Linked DNA regions of Daphnia pulex. The protein of the gene in region 2 binds, or shares a complex with, the protein of the main gene of each other region. Links are inferred from orthologs where the notes say so. Each region holds a gene or a part of one and is shown on either strand. Other genes may lie near its edges. The genes, in order: exosome complex component CSL4-like and exosome complex component RRP42-like.

Region 1 (16,347 bases), on a different chromosome or scaffold from region 2:
CAGCAGTCGTATGGGAGTCTGTGTGTGTTGGGCACAGGTATGCAGCCCGGCCTTCGAGGCAGAGGATCTGACGTTGAAGGTTAAACAGGCGTAGACAAAGTTCCAGTGGAAAGAGTTTTTTTTTTCTTCTCTCCTTCTATCGCCATCCATCCGAACGCACCCGCGCGCTCCTGGCACGCTCGGGGTGAGACATGAGACGCTTGCGTGCTTGTGACCGCAGTTATATGGGCATGGCTCTTTTTTCTTTTCTTTAAAAATCAAAAAATCTTTTTCTTGTCTATTTTCAGCAGCAGTCGCGAAACATGCGACGTAGGCAGTTTTCTTTTCCTGAAATTAAAAAAAAAACAAAACAAAGACTAGAAATAAAAGAAGAAGTTTTAATTCCAAGGATCAAGTATTTATTGATATAGTCAACCGTTTAGACGAGCCACTCTTGGATGGTCGTAGACTCTCTCTATTACACAGCGTAGGTTAGCCTTCTAAATAGCACACGAACCCAAACAAGCCTGCTAGTAGAAATCGATCTTTTCCTACATTGATGCATTTATTTCTTCGTTTCGTTTTCTAGTCGTTATACATTTCCGTCAATACTATGCAAACAATAGACTCTTCCACTTCACTTCACCCCCTATACCTTCTGATGAACATCAATTTCAGTAAACCGTCACTGGGCATTGACATCATTGAGCGACAGAAGGCTTGTAAAAAAAATAAGGGGAGTTGGGTGTGGAGGAAACGGGTGATAATTACGTCACAGTATCAATAAAGTAAATCCAACAAATTTTGAACTGGGTCTCATTTAATTTTTCTCCCGTTCTCCTACATCATCTGGAATGTGAGGAAAAAAAGAGTCGATTAAAAAAGGATCCCAACACCGAATTTTAAGAAAATGTGTAGGAAACAATCTTCAAATCTAAAAGGCTGAAAAAAAAACCGCACCATTTCGAACGAGGCAACTTAGTTCACTCTGGAACCCAAGTGCCACCTAGCGGCCAGACTTTTCAAAGGCCAATAAATTTTTTCTTGCTTTTTCTAATCTAATTTGGTTAGTTATTTTTTTTTAACACACTATCACTGTGATAGAATAACTTCATCGTTGCTTTCTGCAAGGAAGTGTTGAGGTTATTTGAAGAGAGATTGTTGTGGGACTTGGTATGAAAGAAAAAAAAGGAAAAAAAATGATTTCCCCCTAACGCGAAGCGTCCAAAGTTAATAAACAAATGGGAAAACAGGAAAATAGCATCACAGACTAGAAGACTCAGATCTGGAAGGACTGCCTCATCTAAAGGCTAATCACCCCAACGAGGCAACAGCTGCTTCGGAAATGGATAAAACGTAAAATGAACAGTGAAAAAAGAAGGAGGGGGAACAATAACAATTAAAAAAAAAAAAAAAAAAAGGATACAAATAACGATATCGTTACGGTGCTCCTACAGAATGATTAACTCACATGTGATAACATAGACATGATTTCCGAAGAAGGATCCAAAAGAAGGCAGCCGGGATGTATAAAAGAATTGAATGGGAGCTATCAAAATAACTCAACGTACTTTCTTTAACGACAATTTCATATGGCATCAAGAATTCAAGTAATTTTTGTGGCTACATTTTCTGGTGCAAATTTATATACGTAATGCCATTTGAGTTGTCGCTAGAGAAAGATGTGTTTATTAATTTTGACAGATCTTGGGAACGGAAGAGAAAGAGAGGCGTGACCTAGAGATTGGGGATTTAATTGGGGATACTTGGCGATTTTTTTTTTTTTTTTCTCATTCTACTTCTTTGCTTTAGAAGGAAGAAAAATATTTAAACAGCACCCAAGGCACGGGCGGCTGACAAAGCAGAGCTGGCGGCAGATCCGGTTGGAAGTAGGTCCTCTTTTATGAGGACGTGGCCAGCCCCCAAAGACACACCGCCAACGATAGCGTTGTTAGATGAGACGTCGTTCAACGAATTGAGCGGATAGCCAGTTCCTGAGCCTCCGCTGACCCTGTCGGATTTTTCATACGTGACTCCGCCCCCTTCTCTTTGGTCGTTCAGTCCGTTCTTTGTCAAAAAATATTTGAAAAACTCGTAGACGGACCAGCAGATAGCCGTCGAGGGAACTTGAAACAATACACGCGCTTGCAATCCCTGAAAACAAAGAGAATAAATTGAGAAAATTTGGTTAATAAAATGTCGCATGAATTGATTCGATGTTATCATAAAAAAAAAACAGGCACTGTGCCGAACAAACGACAAGCAAGTTCGACAAACAGCTCAAGGACTCGGGTTTCTGGGTGGCACAACGATGAAGCGATTTCACATTTCACGCAACTCGTATGACTAACCTTGTTGGCAACAAAAGGGGAGGAAGGTGAATAGGAAGGCAATGCACCATTGCCACGGAATCGAAATTCGACGCTTACGAGTTAAAAAGGCTGAGCAATTTGATCCATAGATGTATATAGGTTGATTTTTGAAAATTAACTGGTGTGGACCCATAAAGAAGAAAATTATTAAATTTTTCACCTGAAAGAAGCCGCTCACACCGCCCAGTCGGTAAACCATTTTGGCGGCGTTAACAAATCCACTGATTTGCGTCTTCTGCGCTCGCTGCAGAACTTCAGCCTCCTAAAATGATTTCAAAATTGAGATTTAAGTTCAAAATGAAATCGAATGTCTGGAAAACAAGGAATTACCTGAGTATTCAACAGAGTTTTGCAGACGTCAAGCGGCGTGGTAAGGGCAGCTGCAAGGGCTCCTATGAATCCAAAATGGATAGTTATTACATATCTCCTACAAAACATGAATAATAAGCGCACCTGAAACTCCACCCGAGACGACGTGACCTAAAGGATTGTAGGTGCGTTCGGGGTTGGTGGCATTTTGCATTGCCTCGTACACGATGAAGTGAACACACTGGAACGGCACATTCATGGCGAGTTGCGTGCCGTAAGAGCGATAAAAGGCGGAAAATCCTTCCGTCTTATAGACTTTTAGGGCACACTCTGTCATGGACCGGAAGGGGCTGTTGTACATCTGCAATCGCTGCTTCACCACTGTGAGCGCACCCAAGAAAAAAGAAACAAATCAAATTACATCCATCACATTTGATATGATGTACCTAGCAGGGGATTTTCATGTTAATTTTTTTTTCAAGGGAAACACAGTCGGTCATCAGATCATATGGATTTGTCAAAGCTACACGCATTAACTTTGTCGGAAACGTGATGGATACCTTCCGCTGGCGTCATAATTCCATCATGGAGAACAGTGGCAGCGGAGGCAGCTGCTCCCTGAGCCAAGTAGTTATGATGTGCTGAGCCTGTCGATGTGAAATCAACTTTCAATCGCTCATAGGCAGCAAAGTACAAGGCGTGAGCTGGTCCAGCTCCGGCCACCGTGACTCCAATTCCGCGAAGAGGTCTCAATGCCCCTTCATCTCTCATCATAGTCACCAGGACTGACCCGAGACTTCGATTGGCGCTAACAAGACTCTGTAAACGGGTCTGCATGAGATAAAACAGTATATTAATCAAATGGAATGAGAGGGCACTTTTGAGAAATATTTTGAAATCTTCCAAAGTTCATGTTTTTATTGGCTTTATCAACATTTCACACACACTGCTAGCTTCGGATGGCCAATAGTAATCATAAACATAGAACCGCGCTATCAACCCCACTATCATTATCAGCTGTCCGGCGTACTAGCAGTGCAACTTGAGCCACAAGTTGATGTGGAAAGTTTCGACTGAGAGACACAGGTCACAGTGATAAAGCTACATCCTTCGTCATAAGCACACTCCCGGATTAAGATATGACCATCAAATAAAATATTTTTTCGCCCATTTCGACTTTTTACGTTGAGAGAAAGTATAAATGTGAATAAGGCGTAAATGTAAAAGGCATAAATGTGAATAAGCCTCCAAAAAAGAAACCAGAAAAAATATATTTGTTGTCTAAAGACAGGTTATTATGAATGCATCCAATATTTGATACCCATGTCCATCACATGCTAGCATACTGAATAAGAAATTTAGGGAAAATTCTAATTATGGAAACATGGAATGCATTAGACTAGTACAGACTGAACGATAACTTTTCTCCCAAGTCCCACCCAACTATATAGTTATTTGGCTCAAAAATTAAGGTTTAATGTCTCATCTAAATTACCTTGACAGAGTCGATTGGATACATTACACAGTGCTCTAAAACTCCAGCCATGGAACCAGCAATCATGTGTGTAGTGGAATTCGAGGTAGGCAAAGACTCGTATTCGTCGAATTCAGCCATCGTTTACGAGAGATAAACACTGGAATGAGTGAGAGGATGAGATTGACTTCGATGGTTTACCATCGAGAGCGCTCAATCGAATGATAGAGCTTCTTCTACTCCTTCGAATTTTCCAAGGTTCCTTTCGTTTAGTAGTCCTGCTACTTTTCAGTTTTTACTTTTAGTTGTGATCTGTACAAGCAGACGACAGTACACAACAGCCGCCCAATGTTGCCTGTAAAATAAACACGTGGGTATCGGGCTTTCGAGGATTCTAAAATATAAAACTCATGACAATAAATATACATATAAAAAAAATTATGTATTACTAATTTTAAATCCAGCTTCTCATTTTATTTTGTCCAAAAAAATTTGTCATGAATTTAAAATTGTAAATACACCATGTTGAGTATTTTCAAATGGCATTGCCAGTTATTCTTATTTTGGCATTATATCTAAATAGTAAATAATTTGATACATTTTAAATCATTTGTCACTTTATTCAAACATAAATTGGTACTAGTTGAATGGTTAAAATCTCCTATTTATGTTCAGGTAGTGTGAGAACTAGATCTTTTGGTGGAGATCCTACCCGAACTCCCAGAATCAGCTTAATAAGGCGCTGGTAGATAAATGAATTTCTAAAAAAAAATAAAAAGATTCGGATGTTAAACAAAAACTTAAGACGATAAAGATGAAATTATACCTATTAAGAGGTTTACAAATTTCAAAATGGTCAACAGGTAAATAATGAACTTCACCAGCGGAAAGTAAATCTAAAAATCAAGAGATTAACAAAAAATGTATATACATATAAAGTATGGGTTTACCAGCAGAATTTGGTTCCACAAATTTGAACTCAATTCCCCATGGTTGTACTAGCGTTGCTTTGGTTTCCACTAGACTGACAATTCCTATTGGGAATTTTAGCAACAAGTTCTTGAACTCTAAGTTCAGATTATCTAGTATGTTAGAGCCTGCATTGCACAAGAAATTCTCTGTAGATAAAGAAACAAAAAGTAGTATTACAACATTGTCTTTTACTCACCTTTCCTTAATTCTTCTACTTCTACAGAAGGAAGCAGAAGGAAACGCGCAGGTAGATTCAAGGTTGCTACACTTGATCCGTCGTGTGGGACGCTTAACATTAACAATGCTTTTGTGTTCCTGACTATATTCTGTAGCTCAGGATCAGTAGATTTCGAAGCTAGGGAAGAATAACAGCTAGTGAATATTCCGAAGAGAGCGGATCCACAACACCCTACCGTTAATTAGAAGTTGTTTCAATAGCAAGCCTCCCATGGAGTGTCCAACCCAAACAATAGGTCGACCTCCCACTCCAGCTAGCTTAAGTGAAAGCAATATTTGGTCTGCTCTAGAATTGATTGCACTCCTATTGTAATAAATGATTTATAACAGGTTAAGATTTCTACTTTGTCTCAAAGCAACCAATACAAATCCCCCTTATTCCGATTTTTATGCTTCCATTACCTACGTGCATCATCCGGACATCGACTCTTCCAGTGTGACAGAGAAGTCGCATAATCGACACCTAGAATTCGGAGATCAGGAATGTCAGCCGGTAACCAGTCCCTGTAAAATAATAAATTCCCATTGAAATTAGTAAATAAATAAAGATTATAAGGGTGTAGCGGGTCAACACAACCTCCTCTTTTATGGTTAATCTTAACGACTCGCACATGAGTAATCATAAACTTTACCTAGTGAGCCAGCATGACATCATAGCTTATTATTATTATTATACCTTGGCCAGCATTCGCTATAGTCGCTATTCATGCCGAGTAGTTCACTCTGCCGCCAAGTCCATCCCACCCCTCCAAGAAGTCCATGAACGAAAATAACATCCATGCTCCATTTTTTTGCCTGTCGAGTGTCGATGCGATATATGAATGAAATATTAACAAGTAATGTAAAGAAAATTAGTAAACATTTATGAGACTAGCAAAACATAGCGTAATTTGACCAACTACATTTTGTCTAACGCAAGGTTTCTTGCTTTCATCCTTATCCTCGTACAACGGATGCAGCAGGTAAACTGATCTATCATATACTCCACATTTGCGGCTATTTTGGTCCATATTAGCTAGAGCTTTTCCAGCAGCTAAATTTAGAGAAGCATGTTGAGGACCAAAAAATTCTGCTAAAAGGCCAATCCAACCTGTTTAATTTTTTAGGTTAAGTTAATTTTTTACGTAAAATTTATTACGTTTTAAATTCTTATACAGTATACCTGATTGAAAAATCTGATGATGGAGCTGAGAGAATAAAGAGATGTTCACAATTATATTAACACACAATGCTTTGAGCGCTGCTTCCTTGTTGAACATATGCACGACTCGCCAGAGCGCGACAAGAAGTCCATTTTGCACCATTAAAATTGAGGATTCGAATGAACGAGACAGTTCCAATAAAGCTTGTAAGTACAGCTCTACGATTTGAACAATGTTTCCCGGATGTATAATTCTAGCAGTATCAGGATCCCATCTAAGATTGAATTCCTGGAATAACAAATGAATCATATTATACAAGTTTCATCAACTACTACATAAATGAAATACTTACTTCATCTTTGTCTTTTTCAGTAATTTTTTGAGCAATGCTAAGAAAATATGTAGCACAAGTGTGTTGATTGGAGGTAGGAATTTTGTCAAGAATGTGGTTTAACACATCTTCTATGGGCTATAATAGAGGATATAGGATTGTTTAAAAGACACATCATTTATAAGCTTTTAAATATATAATTTAAAACCTCAGAGGTTGAAATTATGTAAGCAGGGGGTTGTAGGAACAAGTTTAGGTTAACATTTTTTGTTCTTGCCAGTTTGACACTAACCCTGAAATCACATGCTTGGGCAATTTGCTGGGATAATCCAACTATATTATATAAAGAATAATCAGCAGTTATTTTACACTTTATAACCATAACCATAATCTGTAAATAATATATTTGAAGATACCATTATAATGTGAAGTAGCCAATGTTTTTAAAGCAGTGGAGTGTTCTTGAGTATGAGAAGGGAGTTCTGATTTAAGAATTCGAAGAAGATGCCAGGGATTTGAATCAAGACCAAGATGTGTTGGTCCCTTCATAAGAGTCTCCACCATTTGTTCAACATTTTTCAGTTTAGAGGTCATAGCATGAATCTCAGTTTCAATTACAGTTTGAGGAATAGCAATATAGCACCCAGCCTTTTGACGTTCTCTCTCAACTGCGGCATCTGACAATAAAGATGAAAACCGGCGGTTTAAAGAATGAATTTGGTATGCCAGAGTAGTTCCTCCTCTTCATAAAAAAGAAAAGATACATTGTAGTTTTCTATATGCTGATTACAAGAACTCGCTAGGAATTGAAATACCCAATTATAAAAATGACAGCTAGAGATTTCGGCAAATTTTTCCATTTCACTTGGCGATGTTTCCTCATTTTATTTACATGCTTGAAAAAACTATAAGAATATAAATTATGATTAGAAAAAAGGAACTTGGAGAAAATGAAATGAATTGAACAGAAACGCAAGCAGTCGACAAAACACCAATAAAATAAAATCCGAAAAGCTTTGTTGTCAAATTTCATGTATTAATATAATCTAGACGCCTGTTGCATTTTCGTTTGAAATTGTTTCTGGCGAAACTTTTGCAACTTTTCTCAATTCTTTAACATAAGTTTTTGGGCACTGCATTTCTTGCCATCCTACTGGAACCATAGGAGTACCTTCTTCACTGTATGCTATAACAACACCCAATTCATTTTCTGCTGTTGACAAAACATAGGAATGTGCATCACCTAATGAGAGCTAACAGCAACATGAAAAAAAATTTCATCTTAGAAGTCATACTCACTTTACAGTTGAAATAATGATCAAAATCAAATAATTACCACTCTTGCTAAAATAATGTCATTGGGACGAAAACATTTGTACATTTCAACCCTGTCCTTTTCTGTAGCACGCACATCTTCTTTCCTCAGCTGTCCTCTAAAGGGTTCTGCCAATACAATGTCCTTAACACACAAAATGGCACATCGTGCCCAGCGAGGATTTATTTGTGTTACTCTGGCTATTTAAAGGTTTAAGATGAAATTCACAAAATTCAACACATAATTTAAACAGTACCTGTAACCACATCACCAGCAGATGGAACAACTGTCTGTTCTTTACCACTTCTAACCTCTATCAGGATTCTCTAGGAAGAAAAGTTTGAACATAATATTCGGAAGTTCATTATTTCACACCAAATGAATTGTTTCACTGATCTAATTTCACTGTTTAACCACTAACCTTATCAGGTTGTGAAGTTACTTTAACAACACCTGCTAAACATGATGTGATATAACCTTGTCTTGTGTAAGTTCCGGCTCCTCCAATATATTGGTTATCCGACAGACATATGCGTTGTCCTGAAAAATGCAAACATTTTATCAAAATGACAACTAAAAAAATATGTTTTTTAATATTACCGGGAGTGCATATTACACATTTGTCTGATTCTTTATTCGTCATTTTTTTCGCACACCAGAACAACTTCGAAGTTAGAAAAAAACGTCGACTGCTGGGCGGCTCACGGGTGGGGTTCGTTAAGTGTGCACACAGCATGAACTACTCTAATTAAGGACGGTATATTCTTCGGCGTTTCCTATGTCGGCCATGTAAATTTTTTTGTGGGAGAATCAGAATCAGAATTTAAAAATTATCATAGAATTACCATATGTTCCTATAGGGCTCTTCGGGATCTGTTTTATTTAGCCGATTTATCTGGCAACGCAGCATGGTTCGAGACTTTTTTAGGGCTAGAACGGGGAGAAGAGGGAGGATGGGAGGAATGGGAGGGAGGAGGGTGTCCTCCCATTCTCCCTCTTCTCCCCGTTCTCGCCCTAAAAAAGTCTCGAACCATGCTGCGTTGCCAGATAAATCGGCTAAATAAAACAGATCCCGAAGAGCCCTATACCTAACATTTATTTTTATAGAGATATTTCCAATTCCTTAACGAAAAATTTGAAATAGGGCAAAACACCAGTGCCATCTAGGAACCAAACCTCCTAAGCTCTTGTTAGTTTGCAAGCAGATGCCCATGCATGCATACCGAGAGAAAGAAAAAACCACTCTCTTATCTAGTCCTCTGACATAGCTGCCTAACTATATTTTACCTTGTAGCGTATATTCTTAAGAGCTTAGGGTGTTTGGTTGCTAGATGGCACCGGTGTTTTATCCTTTTACCCCTACTTCTGAAAGTAAATTTATAATATCTTAATGATTAGTTTATTTCACTAAGATTTATATCTATAGTTGGAATCAGCAAAAAAAACTGAATTTAATGATATTTTTTATTAATGTTTTCATGAAAATACCCCACCCGACTAGCTTTAACAAGGCAGGATAGGCGAAGAATCCCGTCCTTAATTAGAGTAGTCCATGCACACAGTCAATCTCCCAATAGACGTTGCCAAAAGTCACGTGATGCCACATTTTACCCAATAAGATGATGCCTTGAGTACTCTCGACCATGCCTACTCTCGACATGGTACGGAAAGTGTGTTTAACAAAGCCAGGGGTATGGAAAGACCCCCATACCTTTCTCTCCATACCCCTGACAAAGCTGCCATGTCCCAGCAAATTGCGTGAAATCTATTGCCATGCCGGTCCGACAGGGCAATAGCCATAGAGAGCTATTGCCCTGTCAGTGCTAAAACCGCCACCTGGCGACGGCTATTGGTAGCCTTTCTGAACCAAGAACAATCTTAATGGTAAAACTTTTAGGTTTGGTTTGGGTTTTTAAAATAAGATGCATAGGGTAAAATTACAAACAAATTTTATGACAAAAATTTTATTTTTTCGAAAAACACATGTCACGATATGATGTCAGCTACCTGCGTTATTAGCAAGGTATCCGAAGGGATGTTTATGATTTTTTTTTCATAAAAATCAATCAAATAGCATATGAGAAAGATGAACTTCAAAAGAAAAAAAATTGTAGCGTTTTTGAATCCATATGAATACTATGTAGAATTAACGACTAGGAAAGTTATAATTTAATATGGAACGTTTAATATTGTAAAGTTATCCCAGAAAATTTTTCATTTAATTTGTTTTCTTATGATTATAAACCTTAATCTGGAATAAGTTAACACGAAAATAATTTCTCGTTTTTTTTTATTTTACTATGTTTGGATCCAACAAAACTAGAGTTAAATTAAAGTAAGCTATTGTATATTAATTATGGATATTTTATAAAATTTCGTATCATTATGGATGAATAGTTTTAAAACTCGTTTATAGTAAGACATTTTTGAAAAACGCAACGCATTTGTTGGGTTTTTACCTGGTTTATTTACAACAACAAAGTGAGTCACCCTTAGTCTCCCCCCTTGACCTTGTTCAGTTGGTTGGTTGAAGGTTGAGCCGGAGTTCTCAGAAGTCAGAATGGGGTGCGAGGGGTTGTTAACGACCTTGAATAAACATCAACCAGCAACGTGACTCACCCTATCGACCTTTTCTGCAGATTGATTCCCACGTAACGTGTGAATCAAACAAGAAATACATAGGCTACGAAAGATTTGAACTACTTAACCGACGGGACTCCCGTTCTTCCGTCTCCCGTTTTATGCAGAACTGGCTGCGCATGGTTCATCGTTCACCCTCTTACGTCTGAGAGAATTAACGGAAATTCAATAGTCTAAAAAAAAAAAAATCATGAACACAGGAAATATTGCCGTCCTGCTACTTTAAAAAAATAAAACTGGTTCACGCCTGTTGCACTGAATCGTTCCACTTTGAATGCTTTTCTTCCCCCGGGTCGATTATTTTTTAAGCACTTCAATCACCGCATATTAATTAACAAAATAACATTAAGTTATATTTTTTAAACAAGACGGATAGTTCACTGAATTTTAATGATCGATCTGATTCCGTGACATTGAAATCTTTCATCTTTCTACCTATGTATTCCTGCGCCAATTATATTTTTTAGTTTATAGAGTTTCGTTTATACAGTTTTAATTAGTGTCCTGCCTTCGAATTTTACACAAGAGTGTGTTTACCGTCACTCGTGTACTATCTCTCTCAATTGATTTTTATGATACAAGAACCACCGAAAATGTTTTTTGCTTGTGTAAAAGATCACCCTCTCAATCACTGATTTGTGATTTGTGATTTTTATGTTTGATCCACTGATTAGTTTTCAGATTTCCGCGATGATTTCTTTTCACATTAAAGTGCACCGTGTCTTGTATAGCGTTTTAACTAGCACGTCCCTTTAACCTTTATTATGCCTTTTTAATTGAATGATTACTTTTTTGCACTTATTTGCACTGAACGAGATGAAACAAAACGCTTACTGTTATTACGGTTATCTAACCTGAGAATTCAGTAACAATCGTAGGTATAAGAATCATCATATCCATTATAGTTTGTGATGGGGACATAAATTATTCCACATACATGATAACACTCACATGATTCGTGAGTCGTGAACGATACAATTTAAGAAGGTGTAATAGGCCTTGACTAAAGAAAAAATGCAAAATGCAACATACGTAAAGTAAAATGCAATAGCCGTCGCTAGATGGGGTTATTAACACTGACAGGGCAATAGCCATAGAGGGCTATTGCCCTGTCGGACCGGCATGGCAATAGGTCCGACCTCCACCAGAAAATGTGTTTACACGGGTAAAAAAAATTCAAATCACTATTTAAACATGTTCTACATACACAGTAATGTAAAATAGCCGTCGCTAGATGGGGTTTTAGCAACCAGTTTTTAACGCTGATTCTCATAGTATTATTATTTTATTTTTAAAATTATAATCCCCCCGTAATCTCTCTTCAAAGATGAGATAAGCTCCCCCCACTTTAAAACGGACCCCACACCATTTTTGGTGGGCGATCTTTAAATGTGATCAATTTGCAGACGACCTTCACCCAAATAACCCTTTTCGTGCTGCCTATGGCTACCTACAACCCTCTTTTGCCTCTAGGGCGTAAAGGCGAAATGCGGAAAGGCTGATTTGGATTTGAATGATGGTCGTCTGAAAATTGATCACATTTAAAGGACCGCCTAGCGAACATGGCGGGGGTCTGTATTGTTCTGCGAGGGGCTTATCTCAACTTTGAAGAGAGATTACGGTAGAAAAATATAATAAAAAAAAAAATAAAAAAAAATGCGAGAATCAGCGTAAAAAACTGATTCGAATGATTATGATCTCCACCCGATCCCTTATTCATGCAAAGACCCTTTTCGATGGATAGGGAAGTTGTTTAGAAAATATTCATAAATTATGAAAATATTTTATTTTTATCTACCATTTGATGATGCATCTTTTGGTAAAAAACTTTTATATTCAAAGTGTTGTTTTCTAATTTTTTAAATGACCGATTTTAACACTGTGCTTATGGCGGGGAAAAGTGGGTGTACTTAATTGGTAAACGAGGATGTAGAGACGTGGGGTTAAATCTGATCAAATTTGTAGATCGTCTTTTCTCCATCTCTAGCCCTTCAAAAGTTGTTCGAGTTGCAATGAGACACGTAGCGCAACAAGAATGTACTCGCAAAACGAAGGGGAGGGGTGTTTTAAATTCGTTTGATACTGTAAGTATTATTAAAAGTTTTAATATATAATAATTTAATTTTTATAATTACTCCATATATTTTCCAAATACAAATTTTTGATTATAAATTGCTTTAAGATCCAACAGTACGATTTTGTCCGGGTTTCATACTTACAAAGTAAGAACAAATAATGCTCATTAAAAAGTCTGAATTAAAATTTTTATTTAGGGTATACCCCCTTTTTTAGCTAAAATGACAAAATGAGAAAAAGTCCGTTCCGCCGATAGACGTTTTTACTCCTTTAGGGGGTAAGTAGAGTTGGGACCGAAGGCTGTTGTGCTTTGCTATCACACTGCTAGGGTGCCGAACGTGACACACACCAGGCTGACAGATTCGTAGTATACCTAACCGAAAGTCATGGTTACTCGTGTGGGTTCTTCACCATTTCAGTGGAAAAGATACGAAAAAGTTTTTCTTGATTCAGATGATGATTGGCTGTTGTGCTGTGTGTTAAACCGATCGGCCAGAACACGTGACTAGCAGACTAATAAAAAATATCGCTAGAAAAATCACACCCGCCGCAAACAAAATTTGCAACAAAGTCATTTTTAACAGTTATTCTACCGTTGATTGTTCTCTAACAAAGACATCTAGTGGGGAAACAATGACAACAAAGAATCAACTAAAGACGAACCCTAACCAAGCGTAAGAGTTGAACTAACCTAGCGTAAGAGTTGATAGACCCAAGATAAAATAGAGGGTTTCTGAATAAGCGGATCAGAATAATGAAGAAGGCATACTGGATGCTGGATCGACGGTTAGACGAAGACGAAAAGATGACCATTCCGAGGCCGCAGCGTCAGTTCGACGAAAAACGGATCGGCGGTTTGACGAGGAAGCGGATCGTCGGTTAGAAGAAAACGAAAAGATGACCTTTTGGAAGTTGGATCGTCAATTAGACAGAGAAGGAAACCAGAAAAAAGACAAACCTTGAGAGACCTTAGAGGCTGGATCGTAGGGTAGACGACGACAAAGAGGCCGATTGACTGGATCGTTGATTGAACGGGGACGAGGAAGAAAATGGATTGAGGAAGATGGATAAGGAAGAAGACGAGGACGAGAAAGAAGACGAGAATTAAAAAAATGAGAAGAAAAAGAGAAGACGAGAAAGAAAAAAAACAAACTGGGGTTGGATCGTCGGTTACACGAAGAAGAAGTAAAGGAAGGCGGTTTTTTGGATGAAGGACAAAGAAGAGGACGAGGCTGCGAAATAAGAGGAAGGCGACGAGGGCGGTTGATGCTTTCAGATAGGCTTGAAAGGGGGATGCCACGTTCCGTGTGCCTATAGAAAACACGGTGTGAGAAAGAGACCAATAATCGGATTTGGGCTGATGACCCAGTTATAATCTAAGAGAAGACTTAGGTACCTTCGAGACAAAAGGGTTTTAATAAGTTTTATTGAGTGTTGCATATTTTTTCATAAATAATGTTCAATTAACGATCGTGCACATTTCATACAAAGTTAGCTCTCGAATGTGTATTTCCATTTCTTTCGGGCAGCAGTCTGCAAACCGCGTTTATCTATTATTGAACTGACTATATATGTTTACTGTTTTTCGTGTATTAAAATATGGTTTCAGGTAGCTTACATCCTGTTTTTATGACAGCTGTGTCCAATTTCACATGGATGGAGATTTAGAGTTCTCTGCATTTACTCATTCTAAATTCATGTCGAATAAATCAGCCATTTGTTGGTCTAGTTTAGCCATATGGTAAGCATGTCGTCAAAATATGCGCATTAGGTACCCGATGTATTCAGCAGTTTTTAGGAAAGTAGAACGAGAGATTAGCATTTTTTTGTAGAATTACTCTTTTCCATATTTATTACTACTTGCTAGTCATTGGTATTTCATATCATCTCAAGCTCTCTCAAACCACACTTCAAAATGAAATGGTTCTCCATTTTCTTTATTAAAGCTGTCTGCTTTATCATAATTGGGGTAAGTGTTTAACCTTTCAGATCTGGTTGATTAGTTTAGTCCACGAGACCATGACGGAATGAGACTCATTTATTTATGTCTTAAGTTTGGCCTTTAAGTTTAATAACTTAACTTTTTGGGCATATTATAATGAAAGCCTAGGGTACACTCGAGCGTTTTTTTAAGGTTTGTGTAAAAATAAAAAAAAACCTTAAAAAGTTCTTAACAATTTGTCTGTCTTCGCTTTCAAACTGCCAAACTTTTTTACGTAACCCATATTTTCAAGAAATATGTAGATAAGAACTTAAAAAAGCTTAAAAAATTCAAAACGTTTTTAATTTAAGCTTTTTAAGGCTTAAATATTACACTTTTTAGTGGACAGCCAATGAATTGCTATTAAGGAATGAGATCAACAAAATAATTGTTACCACAGTTTTTGTGCGCGACAAAGTTTCTTACCCGTCCCACGGTTTGAAGTGTGGACTCAATTTAAAAAGTTTTCAAATAAAATAAAATGTTTAATATGTTTAAGAAATATTTAAGATTTTAATGCCTTTTTGAGGAAATATTTACTTAGCCTTAAAAAAGCTGTAGTGTAGCCTAGGCTAAACATATTTAATGTCAGATTCACATCTCCTTGAACCTTTTTTAAAATTTAAATTTCTCAATCTTTCATCTTCTTTAATCTCTATCATCATCTTCTAAATCTGATAAATAAAAAAGGGTCAAGATTCAACACCAAAACGGACAAATCTTGGCGTGGTAAAAATTCTGAATCGATTTTATCTGTGATTATTCATCTTAAATATGGGTTAAAACAAGATTTTTCGCCGAAGGGTTTTGACAAATTATTGAGATGGGTGGGCGGGGCATATTTTTAGCAAACATTATTACGGAACTCACTTTTTTCATTTTCTAGAATTTTAAAGAATGAGAAATGATAAAATACTGCTCAAGATTTTTGAAATCATAATTAATTTTAGGGACCAAGTGTTTCGACATCGCATACCAGGCAGCCCCATTGATTCTGCATACTGTCTTATTTTATTACTACCCATTTAGTTTAAGCACAGTAGCTACAAACAGTTTGTGAACGCGCGAGAGAACCTTAAGTAAAAAGGTGATTTTCTCGGCGTTCCCAAAAATCGAATTTTTGACGGGTGACAACGAAATTTTTTTAAAAGTAGTCATGGAGGTTCGCAAACTTTTGGTAGCTACTGTATATTAAAGATGGTTATTCTAACTTGAGTAGAAAAATCTAAATAATTCCCAAAATTGCAAAAAGTGTAAAAATCTTCGTTCTTCGAAAAGTCACAGAAAATAGATGATGTTTTTTGCTTCAAATTAAAACGTTGTTTTGCCTAATGTGTATCCTAAAATATATAACAAAATAAAATGTAAATAAATAAACATATTTAGTGATTTAAATATCACGTTGTTAGGGGTTTAGCGATGTAAAGGGAAGGGCGGGGTTATCCTGGACAAAATTTTGTTTTTTTCATAATTGAGAAATTTGTTGAAATATGATAAAAAATATTTTGTAAACTTACAG
Region 2 (17,118 bases):
TGTAATTTACTTTGCGTATTGTCCCGTCGGCTTCCAACATCATATAGTAACCCGTTACGACGCCATTCAATCGTGTTTCTTCGTGACTTTTGACATCCCCGGTTGGTAGATTGTTTACGCTGTACTCGAAGTTGTAATCTCCATCACTCTGAATCCGTAGATAGAAATTAAATTCTTTCATTTAAGCATTTGCGAGTGCAAGGCGAGGATAAACTGTTACCTTGCGTGTCAGATTAATCAAAGACGTTGGCGATGTTGTAGGAACCGCAGAAGTTGGATTAGTTGTAGGTGACTGAGTTACCTGTTGATCTACCTCAACTGCTGCAACAGTGGTTGGTTTTGGCGATGTTAAATCAACTAGTGATTCATTAGCAGTTGTAGGGGTTTCTGAAACTACTTCAGTTTGAATAGTTGTGGAAACTTCTGTTTTGTTCTCGGACAAAATAGAAGTGGCTGGTGTAGTTGCACGCTGTTTGTACAAGCCATTTGAACCCATGGGAGAGTTGAATTGGTTGTTGAAATACGGCCAAAGAGCTAATGGCAAATACGAGCCTCTAGGCGGAGGACCAGGCATAGGAAATAGTATCGGCATAGGCATCTGCATCGATGGCTTTGGTACTCCATTGAAATTCATTGGTAGTCCATCTGTTAAAAAAATTATCTGTTCGCCTGGCCTCATGTAGATAGACTAAAAAGCGGGAAAATAAGGCCATTTCAATACGATTTTTTTAAACACAAGGAAAATATTTTATACTTGTGGTCTATTAGGAATAATAACCGGTGAAAAGGGAGTGCCGAACAAAGGAAGCGTTGCTTGTGGACGGCCGTTGATCCCACTGGCAGCAATGCATATTGTGAACAAAACCAACTGAAAGAATGTAACATTGTTAATCTTTGTTATTGACAAATTTAGTTTTTTTTTTTTTTTATATTACCGATCGGTTCATTTTATTGACTGGAAGGCAAGACTGGTGATGGTTATCGTACCTGACTCGATCTTATATACTTTCCATGTAGCCCGTCTTATAGTGGTCATTACCCTTTGCCCGTGAAAATTGAGATTGAACCGGTAATTTGTTTTGAAATTTTCGGTCGTTGTCTGCTGATCGCAGCATGAATTCGAGATCACTTGGAAAAGCCGAACACTGAACTTCCGGAAACGGATGCGACTCAGTCTAGGCAATTTATAATTTGATTATTTTCACGTCGGCCGGACGAGACAAAACAAGTCATACAAATAGCAGGTTTAATAAAACACATGACCTTGACAGAGTCAAACTAATAGTTAAAATCGAATTATACAATAATTATTATTGAAATAAAAAATTAAACTTCTTTTCCAGAGTCCACAAGATGGAGAAGACGCACCTAATTACATGGATTCAACCGCTTTAACAGGGGTAAAATCAAACTCTTTTTTGATTTAGTCGTCTAGCTGTGTTACTAATTCACTTTCTTGTTCAGGTGACCGTAAAAGCTCTGTACGATTACCGTAGCCAACAGGATGACGAACTTTGTTTTTGCAAACACGCCATCATTTATAACGTGAAAAAGGAAGACAACGGATGGTGGCGGGGCGATTATGGAGGACGGCGGCAACTCCTCTTCCCGGCTAATTACACACAAGAAATTGACATAACCCAAGAAATTCAAAACGAGAACGTAATCAATTCATTGGCGGAAGAAGATGAATGTTGAATTAATTATTATGATTTTTATTTTACAGTCCACAGAGGTTACACCACTCGGTAGCTTACAGAAAGGAAGCTATGATGTGGCGGGAGCTGTAATTGAGTTGGTGGCATTGCATCCCAGATCCCAATCACCACCCGATACTTCTCCAGACCTCAATCCTCGAAAAATTGCTCCCGAATGGCTGCTGCGAGTGAAGTCACCCTTGCACTCTGAGCCTATCGAATTGGGTTGTGATTCCAAAGAAGACGCTATCGATTGGTGTAACACGATCAAGTATTACTCGAATTTTCAAATTGGAATTGTAATGTTGTTAATTGAATCTTGTTTGTTTTTTAAGGAGTGTCGCACAGCGTTGTAGCGTCCGCGAAAATTTTCATCGTGAAATAGAATTAACGTGGCGAATTGCTAAAGAGCTTTCAGACATTATTGTGTACTGCCGAGCCGTAACGTTTAATCAAGAACGTATTTCGCGTGATGGGCGAAACCCGTATGAAATGTCCTCATTCCCAGAACAGAAAGCTGAAAAGTTTATGCTACAAGACCCTAAATTTTTCCTTTGGTATCATCAAGTAAGTTTATATGAAGCAACAACATTTTCATTAATAGAACATTAGTATAGGTATGCCTATAAATATTTTCTAGATAATGTTTAGCCGTGTCTACCCTAAAGGACAACGAATTGATTCTAGTAATTATTGCCCAGTTCCTTTTTGGAACGTTGGCTCACAGATGGCCGCTTTAAATTACCAGACTCCTGGTTCGTGATTAATATTATCACTATTCTACATCTTGTTAATAATTCAATCTTGCCATTTTTTTTTAAGATAAAAGTATGCAGTTGAATGAAGCCAAATTTCTGCAAAACGGCAAGTGTGGCTATGTATTGAAGCCAAGCTTTATGTTGAAAAATACTTCGCTAGAATCTCCTTTGCAGACTGCAGAGGATCCTCTAATTGTCGTTGTTAAGGTAATTTTTTGTGGAATCAAACAATCCCCACCAGTCCACAATTCTAATGACATATTAATGACACTCAGGTCATCGCTGCCCGTCACCTGACCAAATCCAAGAGAGGGATAGTAAGTCCTTGCGTAGAGATTGAGATTATTGGCAGCCAACAAGACAACATAAACAAACACACCACAAAGATCATAAGTATTGTATAAGCCAAAAATTCTAAATTTTGTTATTTTTCTGATGATCAAAATTCTTCCGCAGCTGACAATGGTTTTAATCCTGTTTGGGATGAAACTTTTCAGTTAGAAGTTGCGTCTCCCTCTCTGGCACTCCTCCGATTCGCCGTATACGATATAGGTCAACATTTACTTGCAAGCAATAAAATAAAACTTTTTCTAAGATTTAAAATTCATTTTTACAGATATGTTTGGTGATTCTCATCTTATTGCACAAGCCACATACCCGGTAACCTTCATCATTTTTATTTTAGCTACCTAGTTCCTAAGTATTTGATATCAACCTATACATGTTATTTTTCCCAGCTTTTGTGTATTCGTCGGGGATTCCGAAGTGTTCCTCTAAAAAATGGCTTTAGTGAACTTCTTGAAATGGCATCACTTTTAGTTTTTCTGGATATCCACAAGAGAAAGGTAGGAAACCATAATTTGCTCACTCAGGAAAAAGTTCGACTTATATTATTTACATTGATCATCATTGCAGGATGAAGGGAGTTCGGTGTTGTTGAAAAGGGACAGGCTTCGTGACCTAAGAAACCAAATTACCGACGCTCAGGAGCGGGGTGACGCATTGGCTGAGCAAGAGGCTCGCGCCGAATTCCAAGAAATCGAATCCCAAATTTTTGAAGATTTTAACCGTACGCGTGAAAAGTAGCAATGTTCATAAATGATTTCCATGAAGTCAATATGAAGGAAAGATGGGGTTATAATTGAGCATTCAGTCATTCATATTTTCATCAGAATGTTTTTGTGAATATTCTGATGGTTAAAATGAAAAAAAATTTGACTATTCAGCAAGTGCTCTATCGAATGGGTGCCTTTATATACTCAATTGATTTAAAGTGGTTTATTCATATTTATTAATGAATGCTGCTGATTTACAATCATGTTAATGATAACCCATCAGTTTGTTATAATACATTGGCAATATAAACTTTTCACCATCAATAAGCATCTTTTGCTTTGTTTGAGTGTGTGTGTGTTGAAGATTTATCCATGGCAAGTAATCTGAAGTTCCAGTAGGTGGTTTAACATGACCAGGTTGAATGTTTAGTTTTTTTGTGGCATATGGTATAAACTGAGGCATGTAGACAAGGAAATCATTACATTCTTCAGAATAATAAATACGAAGTGGAACCTGACGTGACACACTAAACAAAGAATATGTACAAATTACACCACCAAAAAAGAATCCTGCTACTTCAAACGGGATAGATGTTGATCCTTGATGGAAAAGATAAAAAGGTACTGTTATTGATAGAAAGACAGATGTCAATGCTGCTGTCAAGATGCCAAAGTTGGCATAAGTCTCAAGTCCACTCCGATAGCACATTCTGTAAGACAAGGGCACTATGTCTGGCTTGAGGTTTTTTAATACAAGGTCTTGAACATAGAATTTCCATGTTCCAATGTTTATGCCTTTTTGTAGTCTGCTTGAAAGACTTTCTCTTTGTTCACTTTCAAGCTTTTGAAATCTTTGGATGTAATTCTTTTCTTTAACATCACCATTTTTGCCTGTTGAATAGAATTTTAAGGCAGGAAAGATTTTTGTATTTTGCTTCGAGAATATGTCCCAATACCCGGTACATTTCCAAGAAATTCTTCTTAATGCTGAACCGGCTGTTATTCCAGCCATTGAAGTTAACGTTTTATAGTAGCTTGATATTTCTGATAACTCTAATACCACAGTCTTTATTCTTTAGCAGAAGAAAAAATCAAAATAATAACAACTAAAAAAAACCATTGTTGTCATTTCGTTTTTGTTACTTTCAAAATAATAAAAAAAATCTTTCAAAATAAAAAAACAAATAAATAAAGAATAATGAAAAATCATTTCAGTTAGCCTATTTAAATTTTTGGCTTATTTCTTTATAGCTGTTTTGCCTGTTTATTAAGTTTTAATAAATATTCTGTAAAGAACTATGGTGGTATGACACCGTTGTAACGTAACTGAATTGCAGAATAGCACATTTAGCAGACAAAAAAAATTGCATAACAGAGTTGATTTAAAAAGTGCGTGAATCGAAGAAAGATTCAAGATTGTATAGTTTTTAGATTATACTCTTTTTTCTAAAACAATTATTTTATTCCATATCAAGATTTGGAGAGAGCCATGTTTTCATCCCTAAAGACTATTAAGCTATTTAAGTCAATATATCTAAATACAAATAGTCAACCTGTAAGGAAGTGTAGTTCTTTATCAAAAACTAATGTTAAAGTAGTAAAAGTAGCTAAGAATAAATGGAGTATTTTATTTGGAGCTTCTTTTGCTGTTCCTGGGATCTGGTATCTTCAAGCTGACAACAAAAAAAAACGCAAAGTCAGAGTAACAGTTCAAGGAATAGGAAGGTTCTTGAGGTACTATAAGCTAAGTTTTTATTTATGGAAATCTAGCATAATTAAAATTTTATTTCAAGATCCCTTGTGATAGGAGTAACCATATCAACAGACTATTGGTGGTCATTGAAAAATGTTGATGAAGACTCTGCTGAATATCAGGAAGAATTAAAGAAAACACACCAAAGAACTGCAGACCGAATTCTGGCTGGCTGTCTTGGGAATGGGGGATTGTATATCAAACTTGGACAAGGCCTGGTTTCCATGAATCACATTTTACCAAAAGAATATCTTAATACACTTAAAGTGCTTCAGGACAAATGTCTTGCTAGAGGGGCCACTGAGATTGGGCAGTTGTTTGAAGAAGAATTTGGGAAGAACCATAAAGAATTATTTGAGGCATTTGATGAAGAACCTATTGCTGCAGCTTCTTTGGCTCAAGTATAAATATAAAGTTGTAATAGATTAAGTAATAGACTGCATAGATTGCAGGGACAGGTGTAAATAATCAGAATTTTTGATCAGGTGTTTAGGGCCAAATGCAAAGATGGAAGAGAAGTTGCTGTAAAGGTTCAGTATATTGACTTGCAGGATCGGTTCAATGGTGATATTGCTACAATCGAATTGCTACTAGAACTGATCAGTTGGATGCATCCAAAATTTGAATTTAAATGGGTTCTCAAGGTACGAACGAAACAACTAGTAAAAATCATGCTATTATGTATTAAGGTTAAAGATATGTTTGTATATTTAATGCAGGATCTGAAGGGTACTCTTTGTAAAGAACTCGATTTTGTCAATGAAGGACACAATGGTGAAAGATGTGCCAAAGAGTTGTCATCGTTGCCTTATGTTTATGTCCCAGATGTCGTTTGGGATCTGACTAGCAAGGTAATATATGCACTAATTTCACTTCGTTAGGGTATATTATAAATTTTTTTTAACTGTTTAGCGAGTCTTAACGACAGAGTTTATCGATGGGATTAAAGTGAGTGATACAGGCAGTCTAGAAAAAGCAGGATTTTCAATAAAAGATGTTAGCCACAAACTGGTTGAAATGTTTGCAGAACAAATTTTTCACACTGGTTTTGTCCATGCTGATCCACACCCAGGAAACAGTAATCAAAGAATTGGTTCTTGTTGTTTCAGTGAGACTCTAATTACTTATCTCTTTGTAGTCTTAGTTCGTCGAGGGAAAAAAGGCGACGCACAGATAGTTTTGCTGGATCACGGATTATATGAAGAGCTTCCGTCTACTGTTCGCAAATCTCTTTGTCGTTTGTGGTCTTCAATAGTGCTAAACGATCACGTCGGAATGAAGCATCATGCCGCTGCCCTTGGAGTGAATGGTTAGTAGTTTCTCTTTCTATTATCAGTATTTCCGTTGTCATTTGAAACTTCGTTAGGCAAATTTTTTCTCGTAACAATTTTGAAAGTTGGAATGGGTTTGTATTATGACTAGATTACCGATTGTTCTGCATGGCCGTGTCACAGCGCTATATTTCAGCGCCACCATGGCCAACTGAACACGATTCAGTGAATCAGGTCTTTGCTTCGTTTTACGATCACAAGGGGCCGAAAGTAGGAGAATGGCAGAAGATGACAACCGAACAACGTCAAGCAATTCGAATTCAAATGGATGAAATTCATGAAAGGATGATGGATAGCTTCCGGGCCATGCCTTCTCAATTGATGCTCATTTTTAGGTATTTAGTTGATTGCAGTGTTGGTCTGTTGGTCTAGAACTAGGTCAGGAAGCGTACAACAGATTCTCAATTTTGCTGCATCAATACGTTAATTTAAGAATTGTTTTAAAATTGAAACTTTAAATAAGATAAAACGAAGAAACTCTTTCGCGGTCTTTTTTGTATAGACTATTTGCTCTTCGCTGAAATGCTTCTTCAAAGACCCATCGGAAATCAGAAATTCGCTTTATCCAACTTAAATCAACTTTCTGAAACTGATTTGAAATACATGCAAGAAATGGCGGGGCAGCGTTTCGACATGATCATGAATAACCTTCGTTCCATGCCAAGAACAATGCTTTTAACTATTAGGTAATACTGGATATTGAATTAACAATAAGCTGTAATCCTTAGAGAGCTGTGTGATGCAGCAAAATTGATAAATTTGTATCAGCCTACTGGTTTTAACTAAGGGCAGCTTTCTAAGTTAAAATTAACAGATTTATTTTATGTTTTGTTTTGTTTTTTCCTTTTTTTTATAAAGGAACATAAATACAGTTAGGGCAATAACCAAAGACCATGGCAGTCTTGTCGATCGTTATACATTGATGGCCAGAAGTGCTACTCGAGGATTTTTCATCGTACCTGGTGCTTCATTTGGTCAACGTCTACAAGGAGTCTTGCAACAATTTCTATTTGACTGGCGATTGTGGTAATTTTAAGATGTCTCTTTCATTTACGTGATAACTCAGTGAATTTTTTTTAACAGGTGGGATAAAACACAGATGAGGCTCACCTTTTGGGGCCTTCGTGTGTTATTTTGGCTTGGTCGTGCACCTGATATGACAATTGTCGTACAAATGGTTGAATGATTTCATTAGAAATTGTATTTAGTAGCAGGACACAAATGTCGCGTGAAATTTGTAATTGCAAGAATTCCTTTGAAATATTCAATTATATATCCTTTTGTGTTAAAAGACATTTACCGCATGAAGCCAACTTTTTGGGATACTTCCAACGTTTCTTCTTCTAGGAGCTTTTTCATCAAAATTGTGTTGACCACCGCGCCTACTTCACTTCCCGTCTACTCAAACAAGAAACATTAGACTGCGGGATTGTAAAGAATAGAAAAATTTCGAACCTTGAGCATTGACACCAGGCTGTCTGGATGCAAACTTCCGGAGCCAATTTTCCTAACGGCAGTAACTTTTTTATTGCCTGAGACCGCCACAACAATACCAGAAGAGCTGCAGCATTCTTCTTCTGGTGTTGGATCTACTAGGTAATGGTTTCCAATCTGAAAGTGAAAACACAGTATTCGACTAAATATTTCAAAATTAAAACTTTAACTTTCAAACCTTCATCAAAGTCACTACACAAGGAATGTTCTCTGTGTTCAGTCTCTTGGTATCATAAGGATCATCAGAGAGCTCCAGTTCAGGTTGATCCCCGTCCATAGTTGCTACTTTAATAGAAGGAATTTGTGTTGCATAAAGAGCCGATTTCACAGCCAATGAAACTGCATCATAAAGGTTCCCTCCACATTCAAGAATCTATTTTAATGCCATAAAATATTTCATGAGAAATTGTTGATTGGTAGAAATATCACACCAGCATTACCAATATGTCAACATACAAGACCCAACATTGCTGTCCTGTCAAGACAGAAAGTTCAGATAAATTAATTGTATCACCTGAAGCATAAGATCTTTGAAGGAATCTACAAATTTCATTTGCCAGATCTTCTCCACCTCTCCCTTCAAATTCTGGTGTTGCATTTGCAGAGCTAAATTAACAAAAAGTACTATTAACATAAAAACTTTTAAATTCTATTTATATTTATTGTTTAAACAGACCAATCCACAAAGAACTCCAGCCTTCCTTCTTTGGGCTTATCAGGTAAAGGGGAAGCTAGCTCTACTTTAACTCCAACAAGAATATCAGAGTTTGCAAGTCTCAGCCTTGCCGATCCACTGGCATTTGAAACTAATCCAGTTTCAAGAATTATAGGGCGATAATCCAGCCTTGTTCTACCATCACATCGTAAATCATCCTTGGATATTTCAAAAATTGAATTTTGTTAAGTAAGGACAATTTATTTTTATAAGAGCTGATTGATTTAAGTATTACAGACCAAAAAATTTTACTGGCAAGACCGACAGAATTTAATTATACCTGGACACCATGATGAATGAATGCTTTCTCAGCTTCACTTAAAAGTATTTCTGCCATTGATATGGAGCTCAAAGGTAACCAACGATACAGAAAACAGTAACAACTAACAAACGCAGATGACTTTAATCAAAATACCACGGGAATGTAAGTAAACTGTAAACCTTACCAGACCTTACTAGTTTTCAAGCTAGTATGTTTGTATATGTCTGCACTCGACAGTTGTCTGCTACATTAGGGCAACGTTGTCGGACATCCGTCAGGTTCAGATTCTAAAGACAGATTTAATTGGTTTATTTATTTGCCAATTGCGTTTTTTTACTACAGTACGCACATTGATTGCACGCCATTTATTTTTACATTATACATGATTTTATGCGTGTTACCATACGTTTTACATTATACGTGTTACCATTTACCATGGGCATGGAGAGACCTCTCCAAACCCTTGGTGTTACATAAACATTTGGTATTCATTTTCATATTGGTTATTGATTGTAGACCCACCCCCCAGCAACGTCAACCTCCAGAAGGAAAGGCCAGCTTTTGCATGTCCTTGACGCTCGAAGGTCATGGAGATCATTATGTAAAACTTGTCATGCAATGGTGTAGAGGTTGGGTGAGAACGAGACGTTTTACACAACCATTTGGTATTCATTTTGATATTGGTTGTTGTAGACCCATCCCCAGCAACGTCCGACCTGCAAAAGGAAAGGACAGTCACACTTGAAGGTCACGGAGATCTTTACGTAAAACGTGTCATGCAGTGGAGTAGAGGCTGGGTGAGAACGACACGTGTAGCATCATTATCAAGCAGGTAAAATAACCGCAAGGCTTAAGAGGTGAGGGTGAGAAAAAATCGTATAAAAGGCGAGAGAAAAGGCGAAGGTAAATCAGTTGAGGGAGCATCTCCGACACGGCAACAACTGCAGCGCTCTGTCTGTCAATTCGCATGGTAAATATTCTGTCTTTTACGTAGAGTTTGGTATCAATCCTTCTTTTGTTTATGTATGCCTGTTATTATGTAATATTTATGTTAAAATTGCTAATTGTCTAGCAAACTATGGCGTAGTGCTGCTGTTGTGTGTTGAATCATCGATGGCTGGGTCGACCACTGGTGTACCGATGTCTTCTTGGTATGGCGGATACCAAACTGCAACGCCGCCGCCTTACTACCCAAAAGCAACTTACGCAACGACCAGTTACTGCACCGAGGTCTTCAAGTACTACACCACTAAAGCACCGGACTTGAATAGCACAACTTACGCTGCCCCGAGCCACTACACTGCCGCCCTGAAGTATTTCTCTGCCCCGAGTTACTACACCACCAAGGCGACGGAAGATGACTACGCATGCTGCCCCATCCTCCGAGGCTCATACACCGAAGCTCCTAAGTATTACTCTGTTCTCATCTACTTATTGCACCGATTTTCCTAAATACTACTCTGTTCCCAGCTGCTACACCGAGGCTCCCGCTGATTACTACACCGAAGCGGCAAAGTACTACTCTGCCCCGATCTACACAACCATAACTGAGGCGGCCAAGTATTACGCAGTCCCGACTTGCTACACCAAAGCTGCTCTTTCGTACTACGTTGAACAGGAATACTACATTGATGCTCCAGTTCACTACACCACGACCTACGCTACACCGCAGCCCACAAGTACTACACCGAAGAAGCCGCCTACAACAACGTATGCTGCCTAGTTTACTACACCGAGGCTCCCAAGTACTACATCACTAAGGCACCGGATTTCTACACGTCTATGTGTGCTACCCCTGCCTAGTACACCGAGGCCCCGCATTACTACAACACTGAAGCGCTCAAGTACTACACTACAACCTGGCTTCCCCGAGCTACTACACCTACGTCCCGAAGTATTACTGTGCGTTAAAGGAGTCTTCAAAAAAAGGACCACCAATTGCTTTCTTCATCGTGTAACCGATTCGCAATCATGGGTAAATATTCTTATTTTTACATTGAGTTTTGTATCAATAATATTTTTTTCTATTTGTTAATATGCCTGTTACTATTTAATATTAATGTTTCAATTTATTTTGTTTAGTCAACTATGGCGTCGTGCTCCTGTTGGGCGTTGTATAGTTGATGGCTGGGTTGATTGCTGGTGTAGCGATGTCTCCTTGGTATGGCGGAAATCAAACCGCAACGTCGCCGCCTTCCTACTAAACTTACGCAACGACCGGTTCCTGCCCTGAGGTCTTCCAGTACTACACCACCAAAGCACCGGAGTTTTATACCACAACTTACGCTGCCCCGATTCACTACACTGATGCCCTGAAGTATTACTCTGCTCTGAGTTACTACACCATCTAGGCGATGGATGACACCACACGACTACATATACTGCCTATCCTACTACACCGAGGCTTCTAAAGTATTGCCCTGTTCTCAGCTACTTATTGCACCGATTTTCCTAAATACTACTCTGTTCCCAGCTGCTACACCGAGGCTTCCGCTGATTTCTACACCAAGACAGTCGAATACTACACCGAAGCGGCAAAGTACTACTCTGCCCCGATCTACACAACCACAACTGAGGCGGACAAGTATTACGCAGTTCCGACTTGCTACACCAAAGCTGCTCTTTCGTACTACGTTTACACTGATGCTCCAGTTCACTACACCACGGCCTACGCTACACCGCAGCCCCCAAGTACTACACCGAAGAAGCCGCTTATTACACAACTACGTACGCTGCCTAGTTCACTACATCGACGAATTTAAGTATTGCCCTGCTCCAAACTACCAAACTTAAGTTCATATGTATTTTGCAATTTTCATTACTATATCACCACTGCTCCGACCTAAACACCTAAGTTCTGAAGTATTTCTCTGTATTTGTGAAAGATTGCTGAAATACAAGATTAATTGATAAATCACATGTTTCTATTTTCTCCTTAAATACCTTCTCCTGCCGATAATTGCATGATGTGTGAAAATATTTCTGAGTGCTATATGTAAACTTATTGATCTTGCCAAATACACTGATAAAATATTCAAACTAATTTTTACATTTCAATAAAATTTAAACTCCTTTTTATAAATTATTTTCTCATTAAAATCAAAGTCCAACAAACTGAAAAATTCAGAAAAATTCAAAGTCCACCTTCCATTATTTCTGCTAAGTCTAGACTTTTGTTTTTGAAAAAAAATTTAAAAAAATTCCCCTTACACGAAATTTTAAAAATTTTATCGCGAAAAAGATTGATACGAATATTTTATTGCATACAAAATTTATTTTTATAATATTTTACATACATCATATACATTTTTCCTGTGGCCCCCAGGGGGGGGGGGCCTGTCGCTTTCTCTACCGCGATAATAACATGATGCAAGTTATATGCAAGTTATTATTTGTTTGGTGCAGAAAGCTTGTTTTATCTAGCAGTTCTCAACTGTTTCAAACCTGACATTGATCAGGTTGCCTCAGTCGTATACTGCATGATTGAATGAAAACTCAAAAGACAACAGATCAAACTTTAAACTCGGCAACACAAAATAATACTGGCAGAGCAATTTCATGGCATAACGACAACACAAAAATTTTGAAGTCAGGAACCCAGATGGAACAGCTCAGCTACAACAGCACAGCAACTTCTGGATTACACTGCACCCGCATGCTGCATACAAAGACTCACTCTGTCTTCGTCACACCTTTCACCATTTGGCTGCAACAAGGTAACCACCAGCATTAAAGAAGTGTTTGTTATACCTGTTCAAGAAAAGAAAATTATTTTCGAGAAACACAACTGTGTACACATGCATACTCATTATATAAAAGAATACATAGGGTAACAGAAAACTACGCAGTCCAACAGAATAACTTTGATCTAAAATCTTACGAAGGCAAGGTATTCATAATTTCTATAGTAGCGTAGCAAGTTGGTCTACTCTCTAGTCTTAAATCTGTTAAAGTCAATGTTAAATCTATGATACTTTTGCAAGACATTTGAAGTCTTAAATCTGTTAGTCAATGTTAAATCTATGGTACTTTTGCAAGACATTTGATCAAAATAATTACTGGTAAAAGTCTATTTTACCCGACCAACTTCTTACTTTACTTTACTTATCTAATTCACTTTACTTTACTTAATCTAGAAAAGTAACTAAGCGGGAATGAGCCCGAGCGTAGCGAGGAAATACAGGGGTTTTGGGTGGGTATAATAAAGTATAATAAAGCATCAAACCATACTTCATTATACTTTACTATACTATAACCAAAAACAACTATATTTTTACGGTATGCTCGGGCTTATTCCCGCTTAGTTACTTATCTAGATTAAGTAAAGCAAAGTGAATTAGATAGGTAAAGTAAAAATACCACTTACTTTATTTACTTAAAGGTAATCCAATTGCCGCAATACAAAACGAACTTAACAGCACAACTCTATGTCCCTTATTAAGGAATCAACATGATTTCTTCGTAAAAGCAAATCCCAAATTCTGCAGTTAAGATGGCGAGTTTTTGGTTTCACGAACAATCTGTGATACACTTCTGAGTCGTTATTAGCTACAAAAAGTCTAGTCAAAATACGCCCGTCTAATTCCTGAGATGTTGCACTACCACCGTCAAAAATCAAACTAATTCAGGTGTCGTCTGCTACGGAAATTCTCAGACGTTGCATGCATCACAATTTGAGCCATACTTATACTTTGAATATTAAATTTTATTTGATAAGTTTTCCACGCAACACATGATAAACTTAAATATAAAAGTAAATTTTTTATCAATGTGCAGTGTTTGGCAATGAATCGCAGTAAAAATGTTTTTTTTTGTGGGGGGGAGACCCCCCCAACCCCCCCTTTTTTTTATTTTTATCCAGATTGTCCCCCAAAAGCCCACCATTTCAACTTACGCTTTTTACGCTAAATGATTTGTTAACGAAAACAGCCAACAAACATCGAAATTTTTCAGCCATATTATACTTATTAATATAACCTAACCTAACCTAACCTAACCTAACCTAACCTAACCTACTATACTTTACTTTATCTTATAAGTATACATGAAACGTCAAAATCATAATAAAGTAAAGTAAAGTATCTTCATCATGATATAATATAGTAAAGTTCCATGACCTTTATATGAATAATAAAGTATAGTAATATAAAGTAACAACTTGATTGCCACTTACAAGTTGTTAATAATACAGTAAAGTTTATAATGATTTGATGCTACTTTCATCGATCGTGGATTTGAACCACCAACCATTATGTTAGAATTCTAGTGCTATGCCACAGCGCTAATCGACACTTCCTCGATACGCAAAATGTTTTAATAACATTTACAGTTATATCATAATAAAGTAAACTGTAATAATTTGAATAAAGCTGTATTTATATGGCACAATGAACTTCATAATAAAGTAGGATAAAATAATATAACGTTAAAATAAAAAGTAAAGTAAATCTTGATTGACCCTTACTTTAAAATAAAAATAATTTAATTTATATATTTCACCTGATCTCGGATTTGAACCACTGAGCCATGAATTTCTAATCCAGTGCTATACCACAGTGCTAATCGACATTGCTTCGATGTGAAAATAAATAAACTAAATAATATTTCACTATTATGTATTAATTATGAATTTTTGGCAACAGTGTTTTAATAATATTGACAGGATGCCAGTCTGCTACACGGTAGGGAACGAGAGGTTGTACGTGAAATTTCTCGTATTTAAGTAAAGTGAAGTAAAGTAAAGTGAAGTGAAGTGAAGTAAAGTGTAAATTAAGTGAGTGTAGTAATAATTGAGAATTAAGGAAAAAATTAAGTATAATAAAGTAAAAATAAAGTAGAATTAAGTAAGGTTTTGGTCGGCTAAAATAGACTTTAACCTAATTACTTTTTGCTGTTGTATGGGATGAGACATACGCCTAAGAACAGACAGCGAGACACACGAGGCACGCCATTTCGGCAATGTACAGGCACTTCCAAGTCTGAGTTGAATGACTTGGCAAAGTGGTTTCCACATGCTAAATCACCTGTAAATTTTCACATCAACATTTTACATGCAATAACAATAGGAAATTAACAATAAATACCCTTTCAATTTTCATCGTGAGAAATGTCACGACCAGCAACCCATTTCTGCTACGTCTTGGAACAAAATGGCCGAAATGCGTCCCTGGAGACACTAGCGCTACCTGGTGGACATTTCAGCCAACTATTGACAGCCACCTATTGACAGCCATTAGATTCCTGTTCAAATGACTGAACGCAACGGCTGGATTGCTTGCTTCCAGAGTCCAGACAGCACGCAGCAGCTCAACTTGAATTCGACATGCCTTTCGGCTTTCAATAGCTGGCAATCTGGCACGAAATGAATGTAATGAGCATCAACACCAGATTACTCCAGCAGCTTTTCCTATGACACAAATACACAAAGTTTTTAGTTAGCTTTTCAGACTTCTTAACTCTTTCAACATAAAAATCTATAATATTAACAGAAAGTGTTGGGGGTCAAGACAAAAAATTAAACTTACATCTGAAGAAAAGAATAATTTTCCTGCCTGTGGCTGTAAGGCAGCAGCAGCAGCGGTTATTTGTTAGCAAAGAGTTAGCAAAGAGCCAAATCAGCCAATCAGGCAATCAGCTAAAGCGGTAAAAGTCCGAGGTCCGACTGCAATGTTCAGCTTAACGACTAATTTTTAAAGTGATAAATAAAAATTTGTTAGAATGTTGAATAAAGAGAAAAATCAGGACAAGTCTATAGAATGTCTATAATTAGCAAATCACGCCACTTCAGCACACCTTTTACCTTTATTGATGCTCCAATTGACTATCTTTTTATGTCAATTTTTTATGCAGAAAGAAGAATCACAAACCAAGAGACAGGATAACAGATAAGTTGTTTGGGATTTGGGTTTTAGACTTTCTTTATCGTCGAATAAGATTAAAAGAAAGAAATTACCTTGGAAAATGAATCAGTCTCACTGTTCTAGCGGCGTGCGCCCCACAGTGCAATTTTTATGTTGCGTAAAAAAAGCCGACCATAAAAAGGCTTAATTGATCGGAAGTAATTGACAATCAATCATATCAGATTTACCGCCGTGAAATAAAGACAAAATCTTCAATTGATGTCTTCCTTTGTAAATTATTGGTTCCGAAGGAAATCCTTCGTTTGGAGCGTGTCCTGTCTTTGGACAAGGTTAATTATCTTTGGTTTTTCCTCTTGCCCAGTTCACAAACGCATCGTTGCGATCAGAATTGGATGGCTCCTAATCCTAAAACGATGGGAGTATATAAACTACCAGGTGCCTAAAACACAAATCGACAGTCGTATAGTGCCTGCCAGAAACTCAACATCAAGGTAACGCGCTCACAGTTTCTTTTAGAATGCAAAATGAAAATCAAGTGAAATCAGACGGCAAAATGGAAAATCCGGCTTTAATCGGCTGGTTTCAAACCGAACCTTCCCAAGAGCAACACGAACAATTCATACGGAAAGTCGTGGATATTGTTTTAAAGGAAGCAGTGTTTGAGGGAACATCGCGAAACAACTTAGTCATCGAATGGATGGAACCAGAGAGTTTGTTGACCTTACTGGGTAAAGAACTACCAAAGAATCCGCAGTCTGACGAAACACTAGTTCAGTTAATCAAGAACGTTGTACGATATAGCGTGAAAACAGGTCATCCACATTTCATTAACCAGCTATTTTCAAGGTAAAAAAAAAAAGTCGTACATATTTATATTAACTCATTATGGGTGATTTCGAAGTTTTAGTTACCTAATTAACTAAACTACATCATTTTTATGATTAAACTAGTCTGGATCCATACGGACTTGTAGCCCAATGGGTCACAGATTCGTTGAATCCCAGCGTTTATACTTACGAAGTTGCTCCAGTTTTCACATTGCTCGAGCACCAGATTCTTCGTGAAATGCGACGATGGGTAGGATTCCCAGACGGTAGTGGAGACGGAGTGTTTTGCCCGGGCGGTTCAATGGCTAATATATACGGCATTCAATGTGCCCGCCATCGCGCTATGCCTAGCCTAAAAGTAAGTCA

The links.
Region 1: exosome complex component RRP42-like (region 2) and exosome complex component CSL4-like share a complex: the UniProt entries of both Homo sapiens proteins name them as parts of the RNA exosome core complex. The link is inferred for Daphnia pulex from reciprocal best matches to the Homo sapiens genes EXOSC7 and EXOSC1.

Annotation. Positions count from the first base shown.
Region 1 is NC_060026.1:7,108,740-7,125,086, forward strand, and holds exosome complex component CSL4-like, read right to left. Parts: upstream 8,887-16,347; 5' UTR 8,868-8,886; coding exon 8,732-8,867; intron 8,672-8,731; coding exon 8,553-8,671; intron 8,458-8,552; coding exon 8,388-8,457; intron 8,332-8,387; coding exon 8,153-8,331; intron 8,070-8,152; coding exon 7,863-8,069; 3' UTR 7,834-7,862; downstream 1-7,833. Other genes in the region: mitoferrin-1-like, read right to left, coding at 1,807-2,133, 2,512-2,613, 2,682-2,743, 2,805-3,041, 3,221-3,491, 4,156-4,275; protein SERAC1-like, read right to left, coding at 4,796-4,895, 4,961-5,030, 5,085-5,231, 5,303-5,461, 5,520-5,647, 5,746-5,847, 6,020-6,138, 6,246-6,433 and 5 more. UniProt on the Homo sapiens protein: Non-catalytic component of the RNA exosome complex which has 3'->5' exoribonuclease activity and participates in a multitude of cellular RNA processing and degradation events.
Region 2 is NC_060020.1:2,134,412-2,151,529, forward strand, and holds exosome complex component RRP42-like, read right to left. Parts: upstream 9,394-17,118; 5' UTR 9,250-9,393; exon of another isoform or gene 9,187-9,249; 5' UTR 9,141-9,186; coding exon 9,084-9,140; intron 8,962-9,083; coding exon 8,765-8,961; intron 8,695-8,764; coding exon 8,529-8,694; intron 8,462-8,528; coding exon 8,267-8,461; intron 8,206-8,266; coding exon 8,050-8,205; intron 7,993-8,049; coding exon 7,891-7,992; 3' UTR 7,781-7,890; downstream 1-7,780. Other genes in the region: 1-phosphatidylinositol 4,5-bisphosphate phosphodiesterase gamma-1-like, read left to right, coding at 1,344-1,400, 1,465-1,662, 1,727-1,968, 2,033-2,264, 2,338-2,452, 2,520-2,662, 2,731-2,848, 2,912-3,007 and 3 more; uncharacterized protein LOC124192348, read right to left, coding at 1-148, 221-688, 755-868, 936-947; uncharacterized aarF domain-containing protein kinase 5-like, read left to right, coding at 5,000-5,244, 5,304-5,664, 5,749-5,907, 5,983-6,114, 6,176-6,341, 6,402-6,572, 6,686-6,929, 7,453-7,620 and 1 more; cysteine sulfinic acid decarboxylase-like, read left to right, coding at 16,443-16,771, 16,876-17,110. UniProt on the Homo sapiens protein: Non-catalytic component of the RNA exosome complex which has 3'->5' exoribonuclease activity and participates in a multitude of cellular RNA processing and degradation events.